Pelodiscus sinensis: one gene and its partner. The protein of the gene in region 1 purifies or fractionates together with the protein of each later gene. This does not show direct contact. Links are inferred from orthologs where the notes say so. Each region holds a gene or a part of one and is shown on either strand. Other genes may lie near its edges.

The links. Proteins that work in one complex are often made in the same cells at the same time.
Region 2: the proteins of GPC1 (region 1) and HADHB purify together in Homo sapiens (co-immunoprecipitation; 3 studies listed by BioGRID and IntAct, counting the BioPlex papers as one, with this or other methods). This does not show direct contact. The link is inferred for Pelodiscus sinensis from reciprocal best matches to the Homo sapiens genes GPC1 and HADHB.

The regions. Positions count from the first base shown.
Region 1 is NC_134720.1:8,556,111-8,563,845, forward strand, and holds the start of GPC1 (glypican-1), read right to left. Parts: upstream 3,106-7,735; 5' UTR 2,530-3,105; coding exon 2,373-2,529; intron 1-2,372. UniProt on the Homo sapiens protein: Cell surface proteoglycan that bears heparan sulfate. Binds, via the heparan sulfate side chains, alpha-4 (V) collagen and participates in Schwann cell myelination.
Region 2 is NW_027465862.1:360,384-367,869, forward strand, and holds the start of HADHB (trifunctional enzyme subunit beta, mitochondrial), read right to left. Parts: upstream 3,123-7,486; 5' UTR 2,996-3,122; exon of another isoform or gene 2,916-2,995; intron 1-2,915. Other genes in the region: HADHA (trifunctional enzyme subunit alpha, mitochondrial), read left to right, coding at 3,225-3,303. UniProt on the Homo sapiens protein: Mitochondrial trifunctional enzyme catalyzes the last three of the four reactions of the mitochondrial beta-oxidation pathway.

The DNA.
Region 1 (7,735 bases):
CTATATTCTACCCCGTACCTTTGGGGATATGATAAAGTGGTCTCTTAAGACAAGATCTTACTTGTCATGGATGGTTACACAGTTGTCACTAAAAAGCCATTTGAGACACCCTTATTCTGAAAAAGTAAACAGTATGTGCATTCCATGTATAAAATAATCAACAAACCAGAACCATACACAATCTGGGCCAACTCAAAATTGACATTTTCACAGTAAAACGTTTTATCTACATTATCTATATATTAGAGATATTAAGAGAGTACAGATGACAGCTTCAAACTTCTAAACATTTAGAACTTAGAATTTAGAAGTACACGTGACAATCACCAACAATGAACATGAAGCGTTCTCATTTTGTATTTTAAGTACACAATTGGCTGCACTATCAGCAGAACGTTCACATGTGAAGACAGTATTCCCCCATTTGTCTCAGTTCATTCCACCAATTTTTACAATATTTATCTGTACAGTTTCACTGTCAGAGGTAAACCATTTGTTCCTATAGTTCAAACATTATTGCTTAAGATTGCAAACGTGAATACTGGTAATTCTTTAGAAATAATAAACCTTGTTCCTAGAAATCTGTCTCCTCTTATTTCTTTACCAACCTCAGCATTTTTAGAAGTTTTGAACACAGTTTTGAACACAGTGACCCTGAGGGTACAAGATATTTATATCTTATGCAATGCATATCACACAATTCTAAAATATGACCAATGCTGAAGCTCATTTCATTTAGGGTTTCATGTACTCTTCCTCATTATATTGTTTCTTAAAATGTTTACGCCCTTGAAGACTTTATAAGCAGCATGAGCTATTTAAGCAGCATGAGATATTTAAACAATCCTTTACGGATATCTGTAGCCAAGGGGAAAGGGTCTTTTTTTGCTTAGCTGGATTAATTGCATCCCCTCCCCCATTTTTCCCCAAACCCCTTAATTTAAATAGGTTTTAAATTCTCCACTATTTCACTTTCTGAAACCTTCCATTTTACTTTAATATCCACCTTTCAACAAAGAAAAAGTTCACATTTGTATGGCAACAAGTTCAGCCTTCTCCATTTGTATGTCAGCTGATGATAATAATGTCCCCATAAAACTACATTATGAAGTATTCATAAGAAATTCTGCAGCTTAGGAAAGAACTACAAACTGCAATCTAACTGAGATGTCCCTGAAGGTTGGCTCTGGCACGTACACTTGCATGTCTTAATGCTTTGTCTGAACTAAGTAGCTCCCACAAGTGAGCAAGAAAGCTCTTAGATATGGGTCACAAGTCTGTGAATCAGAACTTCGGCAAAGCTTTACAAACAAAAATAAATGCAGATTTTTCAAAAACATAAACCAAACCTTGAAATATTCCTTATGTTTCAGAGATTTTCTGAAAACTCCTCTTTATTTGCCAAAAAACAGACACGACCCTCCCCCATCTAGTTTGTATTTCACATGCAATATTAATATAGCAGAAATCAATTCTGATGTAGATGACTGGGGTTGTTTCAAACACCTGATAAAAATCATTTGACACTTAAATTTTTAACTGACAAATGCCTTTAAGCTGGTTTTCATCCAACAGAACATTATAAACAAAAGTTATTCTCTTTTGTAACTATGGGGCACTTTCTAGCTTTGAAATCAAATCCATAGGATTTTGATGATCCTGAGTTCTAACCCAAATCCTCCAGTTCATTGTAATTGTACAATAATGAAAACACCGGACAGCAATCACCTAATATCTCCTTTAAACATGCTTGCACCACAGAAAATCAAGACAGATCTCGTCTATCGGAAGACTTTGCAAGTGCTAAGAAGGGCTGGTGTGCCACATCTGGGGATGCCCTCCTCCTGAAGACATCTAAGGTCTGACTTCACCACTCCCTTACTTCTAACTGACTGACTCCTTAACAAAAATCACAAGCCTACAAGAAATCGTTTTTCTCCACAACACTCCAGAACAGACTGAAGTTGATATTTATTGCCGAGGAACCTATTGCACTGGTCCCGTGGGAAGGCGAGACTAGGAAAATCACACCATTGTTTGGATGGATCACTGTGCAATTGGTGGGCTCCTTCACGAGAAATCGGATGGGAACAGACGAAGACACGCGGGGATGCTGTACAGAAGGGGGATCCCCTCCCAATGCCTCCGGAGCCGCTGCCCAACGCCCCCCACCCCGGTTTGCATCCCGCACAGAGCGCCGTCCTGCCAGAGTCGCAGCTTCCCGCAGCGGCGGGCTGACAAAGCGGAGTCCCTTTGTATCGCGGCAGCGCGGCGGCGAAGCGGCTCCGGGCAGAGGTTGCCCCCTGCGGGAGCGGCTCTGCAGCGCGCTGCCGGGTGTCCGGGGCAGGGGCGAGGCGCGGAGGGAGGCTCACCTGAGATCTCCGCCTGGGGGACCCCGGTCTGGCTGAACCCTTTGGCCACGTAGAACAGCCGGACCTCGGCGCAGCTCCTCGCCTTGCTGCCGCTGTCCCCCCGCGCCGGGGCGGCGGCGACGCACAGCAGCCACAATCCCCACGGGAAGAAATGCATCCTCCTGCCGCGCCGAGCCCCCGAGCCCGCTGCGCGAAGGACGAGCCCAAGGTCCCGCTGCCCCGCCGGCTCCGCCTGCGCCCGGCGCTCGCTCACTGGCTCGCGGGTGGCAGCTCAGTCCCGCCGGCCCCCTCGCATCCCGGCCGCTGCTCACGAGACCAAGCCCCGCTCCGGGGAAATCAGGCGGCGGGGGCGGGGGCGCAATCCCCACCCCACAGGCACGAGCCCGCGGGACTGGGCAGGGCGAGCTCCCGGGAGCGGCTGCCACTGCCAGCAGCGCGGCGAAGGGGCCAGTCCCGGCTCCGCTGGGCTGAGCGCGCGGGGCTGGGGCAGCTGCCACCGGGGGGGAGCCGGGCCAGCCCCGCTGGCGGGAACACGCGCCGCGGGGGGCGCTGCCAGCGAATAGCCAGCCCCGGCGGGTTGGGCAAAGTTGGAGGCCGGCAGCCAAGGGGCGCGCTAGCGGCTGGCGGGGGCTGCAGCGCCCGGGGCGAGCGCGCGTCTCCCCGGCAGGAGCAGTGAGCCCGGCCGGCTGCAGCCGCGCACCACCTGCAAAGAGGGCGAGGGCGGGGAGGCTCCGCGGCAAGGCAGGGCTTCCCCCGCCGGACGTGGCATCATGCAGCCCCTGCGCCAATCAAGGGCGGGGAGCGGCCCTCCCCCTGCCTTGCCCCCAGGCTCCTCCCCGCGCCTCGCCGGGGTCGCTCCTGTGCGCTCGGTGGGGGGCGCGGGCCTGCGCCGCCGGCCGGCTCCCCGCGTGCTGACAGCCGCCGCCACCTGCTCGCTGCCATAGGTCAGCGTGCGAGGGCCGCCCCCGCCCCCTGGGCATCTCCCGGGGCCCCGGACCAGCCCGTGCCGCGGGCGCCACGCAGGGCGCCCGCCTGAGCTCCACGCCATGCCCCATCGCTCCGCGGCGCGCGGCACAGGGGCTGCATCAGCGCGCCGGGCAGGTGGAGCGTTGCCCGGGCTTTGTCCGAAGAGCCAAGCCTGCTAAGGAATGGCAGGAACTGTAGCGTCCTTAGGAGGGGTTGTCGTGTTTCAAGGAACACCTCGTGTCAGCAGCACCTACACCCTGAGCTGCTGCAACTGATTAACGGGGGAGTTTCTGCATAAATTCAGCTCGTTCTGCTTGATCCCACTCTCAAGCTGTTTGAAAAACACTGGCACTGACTGAGCACTAGAATTCTTCCAGTCCTGGTTAGGGATGTAATAGTGTAGTCACATAACCATAAGCAAAGCGCATATGCTATAGACTAGAGACGTTTCCCTCCCACTTCTTGCCAGTATACTTTTTAGCAGATCCAGGACCTACTCCTGCTATGGTTCTGCATTTAAAGTGTATTAGGAGCTAGGTGGGCGAGGTCCAGGAATTTAGCCCTGCCTCCCACCCCAGGACAGGGGGTGCTGCCTCTGTGTCAGAGGGGGCAGCCCAGGGCTACAGGCAGCCGGTCTGCAAGGGAAGCTGGTTTTTAAACCAGCTCCTGACTGGCACCCCACGCTGCTGCCTCTGATACAGAGGCAATAGCATGGAGTGGCAAGGGGTTCCTCAGGAGTGGAGCCAGAGTGCACTGGCTGCCAGCCCTACCCCCGGGGACTATAGGATAATCGAATAATCAGTAAGAATTCATAAGGTTAATCAACTATTCAATTAACCGATATTTAACATCCCTAGTCCTGGTCCCTGGAGATTTTCTTTCACAATCAGATATCTAAGGGATACTCACTCTTTTGGCATTAATAAAGAATGCCAAAGACTGGCCCACAAATACAAAGACACAAGCTACCACAAGGTTAGAATATGTACAATTTGATTAAAAAAAATCGTACCTGGATTGCAAGTTATTGCCCTGGCAAATCTGTATTTGAAACTGTGTGTGAAAATGGAACCAGCTTTATTCTGTTCATTGACACATGAGAATAAAACTGGCCTTAGTAAAGTCTTTATTCATTTGTAGAATGGTGGCAGTTAGAGGTAAGGTTGCCCATTTTCTAATCCAACAAAACCAAACACCCTTGCCCCACCTCTTCCCTGCAATTTTATATCCCCAGAATCTGAGCCTTAGCTTCATAGGCATCCGGTAGCCTAGGTGGGGGAAGGCTTTGCCTTCCCAGACCGCAAGGCACAGCCTCACCCACACTCTGCCCCCAGAGCACCTGCTGTAAATGTTCTGGGGTGGAGTGTTGCTGCCCCTAGCGCCCACCCTCCCCGTGCTCCTGGCCAGGGAGCCTGGAACCACACAGCCTCCTCCCTCCCACCGTGCTCCGTCATGCAGCCTCCTCCCTCCCACCGTGCTCCAAGAGCTGCAACGCGCAACCTCCTTCCTCCCCCAATGCTCCAAGAGCTGGGGAGATGGGAGCCACGAGATGCAATGCAACCTCCTCCCTCCCCAGTGCTCCAGGGTCCGGTGAGGTTGGGGCACCCCCATGCACCCCTAGCATCTCTTCCCCTCCTTGTGGGCACATGTATGCTGCCCTGCCTTCTCCCCTCCCTGTGGGGGGGAGGGGGCTCAGCAGAGGGGCTGGGGCTGGGGGACTACTGCCTTACTGAGAATATTTAAATAAATACATAAATGATTGTGAAGTGCTCAGATACTATGGTGACAAGAGCCAAATAGATTCATTTTTGATTCAAGACAAGAGCCATCTAACTTGACATACTGTACAAAACTGAGAAAACAAATGCATATCGATATTAAAGGATTGGGTGGTTTTTACTGAGAAAGTTTGAATATACACCAAGAATTTTAAGCAATTTCAAATACATTATCAAAACATGAAAATATACTTTACTGCATCTTACAAAATATGTAGAGAATTAAACTCTTGCCTGTGGACATTTGAGGGTCAGATTCGCTTTGTGAACTCTGACTTTTTTTCAACATTTTGAATTAAACAAATTAGAAAGTGAGTTAATATGAAAACAGAAGATCTTCCATTTGTAGATTCTAGAAACCTTCAGTTATTTAAGGAAAACAGTGATTTAGAAGAGGGGAAACAGAAACAGTGGAGCAAGGAAAAAGACTGCAGGAAAACATAAAAGGTGTAGATAGAATGAAGAGAAAAGAACACAAAATGCCAGCAACTTAGGGAAAGAGAAGCAGAAAATCCATCCTGCAACAGATAGAAAGCCTCTTGTCAGTCACAGACAAAGTGCTGCATCTAGAAAAGTAGACTCAGGCACTGAAAAGTGACAGGTGTGATATAGAAAGGTCAATTCATCTGGCACGAGGTAAGAATAAAAAAATGGGAGTGGGGAGTTGGAAAGGAAAAGAGAGTAAGGTTGGCATGATATGTTTGGAAGCGTCATCTAATTTTCAAAAGTTTACATGCACACTTGAGTCTTCTCTCCAGTTGATGCAAATCAGGAACAATCACACAGTGGAATTACATGGACCAAATCCTCAATTGGTGCAAAAACGTAGCAATGCTGAGTTATAGCAGTCAAGTATCTGACCCACAAAAGTATAAATCAGATGATCTTGTTCCATGTTGAGTCTGATCCTCTGTTGCCCTAATAATGTATGACCATTTGTAACAATATACAAAGAATGTAATGCACCACCATTCTGATTTATGTGCAGATAGTCAGGCAATTTGAGTTTAAAACAGAGGTAAAGTAGGAGCGTCCTTAGTATCTTTTTTTCCAGGTTCTCTTCTCCGAGGCTATACCTAACTTTGATACTAAACCATGAAAGCCACCTCCTACACCCAGGTTGACTTGTGCTCAGCAGGAGCTGAACACACGTCTTCCTGATTCAGGTCTAATTCACTTATCTAGGGGCATGTCTACACTAGGAAATTATTTCAAAATAACTAAATTCAAAATAATAATTCCAGAAATAACTATTTCTATATAAGCCTATTTCCCAAGGAAAGCAAGAGAACAGATTTCGAAACGACCAGCCTGTTGTTTCAAAATAACAGGGTTGGTAGTGTGGACATTCTGCTTATTATTTCAAAATATTTTTTTCCAATATAACTGCTTAGTATAGACCAGGGCTAGCAGATTTATTAGATTTCACCCTGCTTTCTGGTGCTGTTTATTTCTGAACAAAATCTTTCTTATTAGAAAATCATAAGGTATTCCACTCAACCTAAACTTTATTGGCATGCACAAGAATAGTGTGCTCAGTTATTTTGTTGATAGATGTTATAAGATCAAAGTCTCCTTAAATTGTCAGAGGATCTATGTCCAGCTCACGATTCCAGCTTGATCTCACACAACTAAGTAAGAAAGCCATTTGTCCATCTTAAATGCTAAGACTTGAGGATTTGTGTGTCTGTGTTAATTAATCAAGGGTATTGTTCTATATGACATCAAGAGCTGGAGATTGTTCTCAGGGGTCTGACCCTGCTCCTCTTCTAAATCAATGGCAAAGCTCTTATGGACTTAAGTGGTTCAAAATCCGGCCCCAGATATAGGAAAACCAATAATTCTTGCTTCTGCTAAAGAATCAAGAAGGCAGTGGCTCTCAAAGATGCAATACACAGCAGGATAGAACACTGAGTGCAATATAACATAGATACACAATATAACGTTGAGTGCAATATAACATATGTGCGCTATTCTGGTCTCCCATGTCTAAGAAAGATGCATTCAAACTGGGACAGGTGCAGAAAAGGACTACTAGGATGATCAGAGGACTGGAATACCTATTTTATGAGGGGAGACTCAAAGAGCTTGGCTTGTTTAGCCTAACCAAAAGAAGATTGAGAGGAGATATGATTGCTTTCTAAAAATACATCAGAGGGATAAATACCAGGGAGGAAGAAGAGTTATTTAAATTAAGCACCAATACGGACACACGAATAAATGGATATAAACTGTCCATCAACAAGTTTAGGCTTGAAATCAGATAGTTTGTAGCTGTCAGAGGAGTAAGTTCCGGGAAAGCCTTTCAAGAGGAGTAGTGAGAGCAAAAACCCTAATGAACTTCAAGACTGAACTTGATAAATTTACAGAGGGGATGGTGTGATGAGGCTTTCTACAATGGCATGGTAGCCGATCTACAACTGCCAACAGTAAATATCTCCAAGGGCACATCTGCATAGCAACATTATTTCAAAATAACGTAGTCTGCGTCTACACAGCAGGCAGTTCCTTTAAAACAATGTCAAAATACTGTCAACCTGAGGACGTCTTACTCCAACCCCCGTAACCCTCATTGTATGAGGAGTAAGGGAAGTCGTGCTCTATTTCAAAATAAGTGCT
Region 2 (7,486 bases), on another chromosome or scaffold:
CGCCTCCTTCAGCCCCCCCACAGCCCTGCCCCTCCTGCAGCCAGGTCCCGCCTCCTTCAACCCTCTGCCCCTCACAGCGCTGCCCCTCCTACAGCCAGGCCCCGCCTCCTTCAGCCCCCAGCAGCCCTACCCCTCCTGCAGCCAGGCCCCACCTCCTTCAGCCCCTCACAGCCCTACCCCTCCTGCAGCCAGGCCCCGCCTCCTTCAGCCCCCTGCCTCTCAGAGCTCCACCCCTCCTACTGCCAGGCCCCACCTCCTTCAGCCCTCTACCCCTCACAGCCCTACCCCTCCTGCAGCCAGGCCCCACCTCCTTCACCCCTCTGCCGCTCACAGCCCTACCCCTCCTGCAGCCAGGCCCGCCTCCTTCAGCCCCCTACCCCTCACAGCCCTGCCCCTTCTGCAGCCAGGCCCCGCCTCCTTCAGCCCCCCCCACAGCCCTGCCCCTCCTGCAGCCAGGTCCCGCCTCCTTTAACCCTCTGCCCCTCCTGCAGCTAGGCCCCACCTCCTTCAGCCCTCTGCCCCTCACAGCCCTACCCCTCCTGCAGCCAGGTCCCGCCTCCTTCAACCCTCTGCCCCTCACAGCCCTGCCCCTCCTACAGCCAGGCCCCGCCTCCTTCAGCCCCCAGCAGCCCTACCCCTCCTGCAGCCAGGCCCCACCTCCTTCAGCCCCTCACAGCCCTACCCCTCCTGCAGCCAGGCCCCGCCTCCTTCAGCCCCCTACCCCTCACAGCCCCGCCCCTTCTGTAGCCAGGCCCCGCCTCCTTCAGCCCCCTACCCCTCACAGCCCCGCCCCTCCTACAGCCAGGCCCCGCCTCCTTCAGCCCCCTACCCCTCACAGCCCCGCCCCTCCTACAGCCAGGCCCCGCCTCCTTCAGCCCCCTGCCCCTCACAGCCCTGCCCCTCCTACAGCCAGGCCCCGCCTCCTTCAGCCCCCTACCCCTCACAGCCCCGCCCCTTCTGCAGCCAGGCCCCGCCTCCTTCAGCCCCCTACCCCTCACAGCCCCGCCCCTTCTGCAGCCAGGCCCCGCCTCCTTCAGCCCCCTACCCCTCACAGCCCCGCCCCTTCTGCAGCCAGGCCCCGCCTCCTTCGGCCCCCTGCCCCTCACAGCCCCGCCCCTCCTGCAGCCAGGCCCCGCCTCCTTCAGCCCCCTACCCCTCACAGCCCCGCCCCTCCTGCAGCCAGGCCCCGCCTCCTTCAGCCCCCTGCCCCTCACAGCCCCGCCCCTCCTGCAGCCAGGCCCCGCCTCCTTCAGCCCCCTGCCCCTCACAGCCCCGCCCCTCCTGCAGCCAGGCCCCGCCTCCTTCGGCCCCCTACCCCTCACAGCCCTGCCCCTTCTGCAGCCAGGCCCCGCCTCCTTCAGCCCCCCCCACAGCCCTGCCCCTCCTGCAGCCAGGCCCCGCCTCCTTCAGCCCCCTGCCCCTCACAGCCCTGCCCCTCCTGCAGCCAGGCCCCGCCTCCTTCAGCCCCCTGCCCCTCACAGCCCTGCCCCTCCTACAGCCAGGCCCCGCCTCCTTCAACCCCCTACCCCTCACAGCCCCGCCCCTCCTGCAGCCAGGCCCCGCCTCCTTCAGCCCCCTGCCCCTCACAGCCCTGCCCCTCCTGCAGCCAGGCCCCGCCTCCTTCAGCCCCCTGCCCCTCACAGCCCTGCCCCTCCTGCAGCCAGGCCCCGCCTCCTTCAGCCCCCTACCCCTCACAGCCCCGCCCCTCCTGCAGCCAGGCCCCGCCTCCTTCAGCCCCCTGCCCCTCACAGCCCCGCCCCTCCTGCAGCCAGGCCCCGCCTCCTTCAGCCCCCTGCCCCTCACAGCCCCGCCCCTCCTGCAGCCAGGCCCCGCCTCCTTCAACCCCCTACCCCTCACAGCCCCGCCCCTCCTGCAGCCAGGCCCCGCCTCCTTCAGCCCCCTGCCCCTCACAGCCCCGCCCCTCCTGCAGCCAGGCCCCGCCTCCTTCAGCCCCCTGCCCCTCACAGCCCCGCCCCTCCTGCAGCCAGGCCCCGCCTCCTTCGGCCCCCTACCCCTCACAGCCCTGCCCCTTCTGCAGCCAGGCCCCGCCTCCTTCAGCCCCCCCCACAGCCCTGCCCCTCCTGCAGCCAGGCCCCGCCTCCTTCAGCCCCCTGCCCCTCACAGCCCTGCCCCTCCTGCAGCCAGGCCCCGCCTCCTTCAGCCCCCTGCCCCTCACAGCCCCGCCCCTCCTGCAGCCAGGCCCCGCCTCCTTCAGCCCCCTGCCCCCCACAGCCCTGCCCCTCCTACAGCCAGGCCCCGCCTCCTTCAACCCCCTACCCCTCACAGCCCCGCCCCTCCTGCAGCCAGGCCCCGCCTCCTTCAGCCCCCTGCCCCTCACAGCCCCGCCCCTCCTGCAGCCAGGCCCCGCCTCCTTCAGCCCCCTGCCCCTCACAGCCCCGCCCCTTCTGCAGCCAGGCCCCGCCTCCTTCAACCCCCTGCCCCTCACAGCCCTGCCCCTCCTGCAGCCAGGCCCCGCCTCCTTCAGCCCCCTGCCCCTCACAGCCCCGCCCCTTCTGCAGCCAGGCCCCGCCTCCTTCAACCCCCTGCCCCTCACAGCCCTGCCCCTCCTGCAGCCAGGCCCCGCCTCCTTCAGCCCCCTGCCCCTCACAGCCCCGCCCCTCCTGCAGCCAGGCCCCGCCTCCTTCAGCCCCCTGCCCCTCACAGCCCCGCCCCTCCTGCAGCCAGGCCCCGCCTCCTTCAACCCCCTACCCCTCACAGCCCCGCCCCTCCTGCAGCCAGGCCCCGCCTCCTTCAGCCCCCTGCCCCTCACAGCCCCGCCCCTCCTGCAGCCAGGCCCCGCCTCCTTCAGCCCCCTGCCCCTCACAGCCCTGCCCCTCCTGCAGCCAGGCCCCGCCTCCTTCAGCCCCCCCCCCACGTAGTCCCCCGTCCCCGGCAGCGCCTCCCCCTCCAGCCACCTGCAGCGATCCCCTCCCCCACGCGGGGCGGGGCGGGGCCACGCGCCAGGGACCCGCAGGGCTCGCGCCGCGGCCGTTACCGTCGCTACGCGGTGGCGGCCCCGCTCGCTGCCCTGGGCGGTGCCTGCCTCAGGAAAGCCCCCGCCGGCCCTGCCGTAGCTGCCCTCGCCGGTGCCTGAAGGCAGCCCGCCCCGCGCCGCGCCTGGGCTGGGCGAGCCAATCAGGCAGCGCCGCGGGCAGCCCTGGGGGGTGCGAAGGCCCCGCGCCTCAAGGACCCGCCCCGCCGCCGCTTCGACCTCCCCGAGCAAGATGGCGGCCGCGGTGCGCGCGATCGGGAGCCTCACGCGCTTCACGGCCGCCGCCAAGTACTGCGCGGCCCGCCGCCTCGGTGAGGGGCTGGGCCGGGGGGGGGGGCGCGCTGCCGAGCCCCGCCCCGCCCCGGCTCGCCGTGCTGCGCTCCCCGCCGAGTGCCTGTCTGGGGCCGCCGGCCGGGCGGGGCTGGCAGCAGGAGCCCGGGGAGCTCAGCGCGGGGCCTGGCCACACGCAGCAGCCCGGCCCGCCAGCAGTCGGGTCACAGGGGTTCTGGCTCTGCCGCGGCCCTGGCTCCCGGCTCCCGGACCCCGGCCCCCCCGGCCCCCCCGGCTCCCGGCCCCCCCGGCTCCCCCGGCTCCCGGCCCCCCCGGCTCCCGGCCACCCTGGCCCCCCCGGCCCCCAGCATCCCCGGCCGCCCCGGCCCCCCCGGCTCCCGGCCCCCCCGGCCACCCCGGCCCCCCCGGCCCCCGGCCACCCTGGCTCCCGGCCGCCCCGGCCACCCTGGCCCCCAGCCACCCTGGCTCCCGGCACACGCCTGCTGCGGCAACAAGCTCTCCCCAGGCGGCTATCCCACCTCCCCCAAACCCCTGGCCTGGGGCTCTCAGGTTGTGCTGCTGCTCCCTGTTCATTTCCCGGGGCGGGTGATGAATGTTAGTGACTAGCGGAGATCATTTGCAGTTAATGGATTTGATGCGGGAAGGTGGCTGTGGCAGTGTGCTCGTAGAGCTCTCCCAGTGCTCTAGATGAACAGCCTCTATGCTTGGGGCATAGTTCCCAGTGCTGGGAGCCTGTTTACACCCACACTTCACAGCGCTGTAACTTGCTGTGCTCGGGAGATGCTTTGTCACACCCCTGAACAAGAAAGTTACAGCTCAGTGACCTGACAGCCTGGTAGCACAGCAGTATAGACAAGCCGTTAGTCTGACTGCTTTCAGTCAAGTCACAGGAATGATTTGACATCTGATCAGAGTTTGTTGGTTTGTGGAATTAAGTGGGCTCTTAATTCAGTGACCCAGTCCTTCTCCTGCAGTTGTCATTCGTCTGGTCCTTTCTTTTTCTGCTCAGCAGAGGTGCCCCAGGCACTGAGCTCCCCATATTCCTGCGGTGAGGGTTTCCTTCTGCGAATGCACAGCTAGAGAGCTGGGTTCTCCTCTGAATTTACACTTGTAACTGTCAGAATGATACACGATTGTACACACCATGGTAAGAACATAAGAATGGCTGTACTGGGTCAGACCAAAGGTCCATCTAGCCCACTAGCCTGGTGTCTGTAGTTCCTTGTTTTCAGGATTCGCACTAGGGATATAATAGTGCAGTTGATTAACTGATTATCTGATAAGCAAAAGCTTATAAGTTAATGCCATAGACTACACGCATTTCCTTCCCCTCACCAGGCAGGGGCTGCTGCCACCCTGCGCTGTTGCCTCTGTATCAGAGGCAGGAACACAGGGCGACAGGCTGGTTTTTAAACTGGCTCTCCTCGTGGACCGGCTCCCCCCGACACCCCACGTAGAGTGGCAGGGGGACTCCTCAGGAGTGGGGCTGAAGTGCACTGGCTTCCAGCCCTGCCCCCTAGGGACTCTAGAATAGTCGGCTAACTGATAAGGATTCATGAGGTTACTCAACTATTCAATTAACCAATATTGAACACCCTCACTTTGGCTGACAGTGCCCTCCCTTGAAAGTATGTGTTGGTTGGACCCCCAGTTCCTCAGAGTTGATAGCAGTCTGCCTGGAATAGTCTTTTGTTCTTCATGCCCCTGAATCAGTGTTTGGCAAACTTTGGGGTGGTTTTTTTGCGGGGGGGATGGGCAAGTACTTGCAGTGGCAGGGCAAAAACTGAGGCCAAGAGCAGCGCATATGAGGAAAGTTCCATGGTTTTGGGGCCACCCCTGTTGCACACATTCCCACAGCTGCTAGTAAAACAGGCACCGATTGAAAGTCTGTCTTGCACCACTTGCAGCTCCTTGTTCAGCTCACAGGTGTAGGGAGGAAACATGGGCCATCCCAAGCATTTCTTTTCTGCTCCCTTGATGTTCAGCTTAGTTCCAGATCACGAGCCCTGGCACTACGGAGCCACCTATGGATGCTGCTGTTCCCACCTCAAGCAGCATGCAGTCTCCTGGTGAGTCAGGGAGCAGGGAGAGGAGCACAGAAAGAGACCAAGAGTGGAGAAAATGGGGCAGCTGTGTCATGGTGTGGGGGAGTGTCCTCCCTCGGCACACCAGCCAACATTGGGAGCCGCTCCCCTCAGCGAAAGTTCTGTGAGCTAAACACTGGCCTAATAATACTTTGCCCTTATAGTGCTTTCTGCCTAGTGGTTTTCAAGGTGGGCAACTTCCCTGCCTCCATCTCCCATCTATAAACATCCAGTTCTGTTCTGCAAAATAATAGCGCCACATAGTTCCTGTTGATCATTTTACAAGTGAGTGAGTATTTCTTCTGGTCTCTAAGTGCCTAAGTCCAGCTGGGGGTGTTCCTCTGCATTCATTCTCACCAGGAGTAGTTTTGATTAAATTTTGTCTTCAGTAACTCGTGCATCCCCCTTTGTGATGCTTAAATTCATTAATGTCTGTCACATTTTTGGTAACCAATAATGGAAAGCGCTAGAGAAGTGCAAAGTATCACAGAGGCTGTAATCAGTTACCTTCCAAAATTAGTTTATTGTAAAAACAAGCTATTGCAAAACCCAGTGAGTAAATATTTAATTATTCTTTTTTAAAGACTTGAAACAGTTTTTAACCCTTTTCCCCTGCAGTGTTGGAAATCTATTTAAAAGTGGAATTTACTACAATCTATCAACAGAAATGAAACTGACTAATCTCTTTTCATTGCCCTATAAAACATAAGTCATGAACAGTAAATCTCGTTTAAGTCTTTTAGTTCCAGTATAATGGTGAAAACCATAAGGCGGCCTGCTGGTGTTCTGTTTAAAAAGTACGAGAGGGTTTTTTCTGTAATCTTCATTTGTAGAAATTCATGCTGCTAGTTGTACATGATTGGCTCCTGAAAGTAGCAGTGCTATTATTGTAAACTGCCTCTAAGCCACTTTGTATTGTCGCTGTGTTTTGAGCCTGGTTATTGTTTTCCAAGCCTGCTCTGGCCTGTGCAACTTGATAAAGCCAAATTTTCCAGGATAACGTGCATCAAAAGTATGTCACTCCTTTTGCATATTTATTTCTAGGCTGCCAAAACGTTTAAGTGTCTTGGGAGAACAGCAGTGACAAGGTCCCTGACCCAGAGTTGCAATCTAAATAGTGTGCAGGCAGGGGCAGCTCGTGAGCCTAGGCGAGCTAGGCAGCTGCCTAGGGCGCCGCTGGCCCGGGTGTCCGATGATGACATCACGGCCATTGACGGCTGTATAGGCGGGGCGCCAATCGCGCCGCCCCGCCTAGGGCGCCAGCTGCTGCAGTCGGCCTCAGGCCGCTCCTGTGTGCAGGCAAAGGAAGGGGGAGGGTTAGCACGTTTTGTCCCAGGTTATTAGCACCCTTTTTAGCTTTGTGCACGGTTCATCTGTTTTCTTGAAAGTGGTTGTAGAGACCAGGATTTATAGGACTTCCCAGAAAGTCTTTAAGGAGAACTTAAGAAAAAAAAGCTTGTTAGACCATGGAACTTGGGGTGGGGTGTGTGTGTGTGAATGTAGCCCATGAGTTACTTGCATAACTTCATGAAATAAGAGTCTGTATCTTTCAGAAGGTAGGCCTGTTCGGTGAAGTCTGGAGTATTGTTGGCATATGCACAGGGCTCGACGAATCACTGAATCTACTCGCCTGTGGCGAGTAGATTTCAGCCAGTCGCAGCATTCACCGGCGGCGCGCACATGCGCAATGCGGGTCTTGCTCATGCACAGTGCAGGGCTGGCGAGTAGGTTTTGCCGCCGTTTGTCAAGCCCTGCAAATGCAAATCCTTTTTCTACATCTAAAAGCACAGCTGTTAGTGACTTGTGCCGCACTCCCCAGACTTCGCTATACTCTGCCTGTGACTGCAGGGGCGGGCAGAGTTGGGGAAGCTACCAGTGGTGGTCTTGTAATTTAGTCTCAGCTATTCATCTCCTGCACTGTGATGTGCTGTTTTACTCCAAAGGACAAGCTGGATCACCTTATTCCTGGCCTCCAGACTTAATTGCTGCAGCAGTTGCGGGGGTGCTGGCAATGCGAGCACTGTATTTTGTGGTCATCACATGTGGCTGGCTGGCGGCCTGGTGGTTGGAAGCCTAGGCCCTCTGGAGGCCAGACTCGTAGGGCTGTCAAAGATTTCAC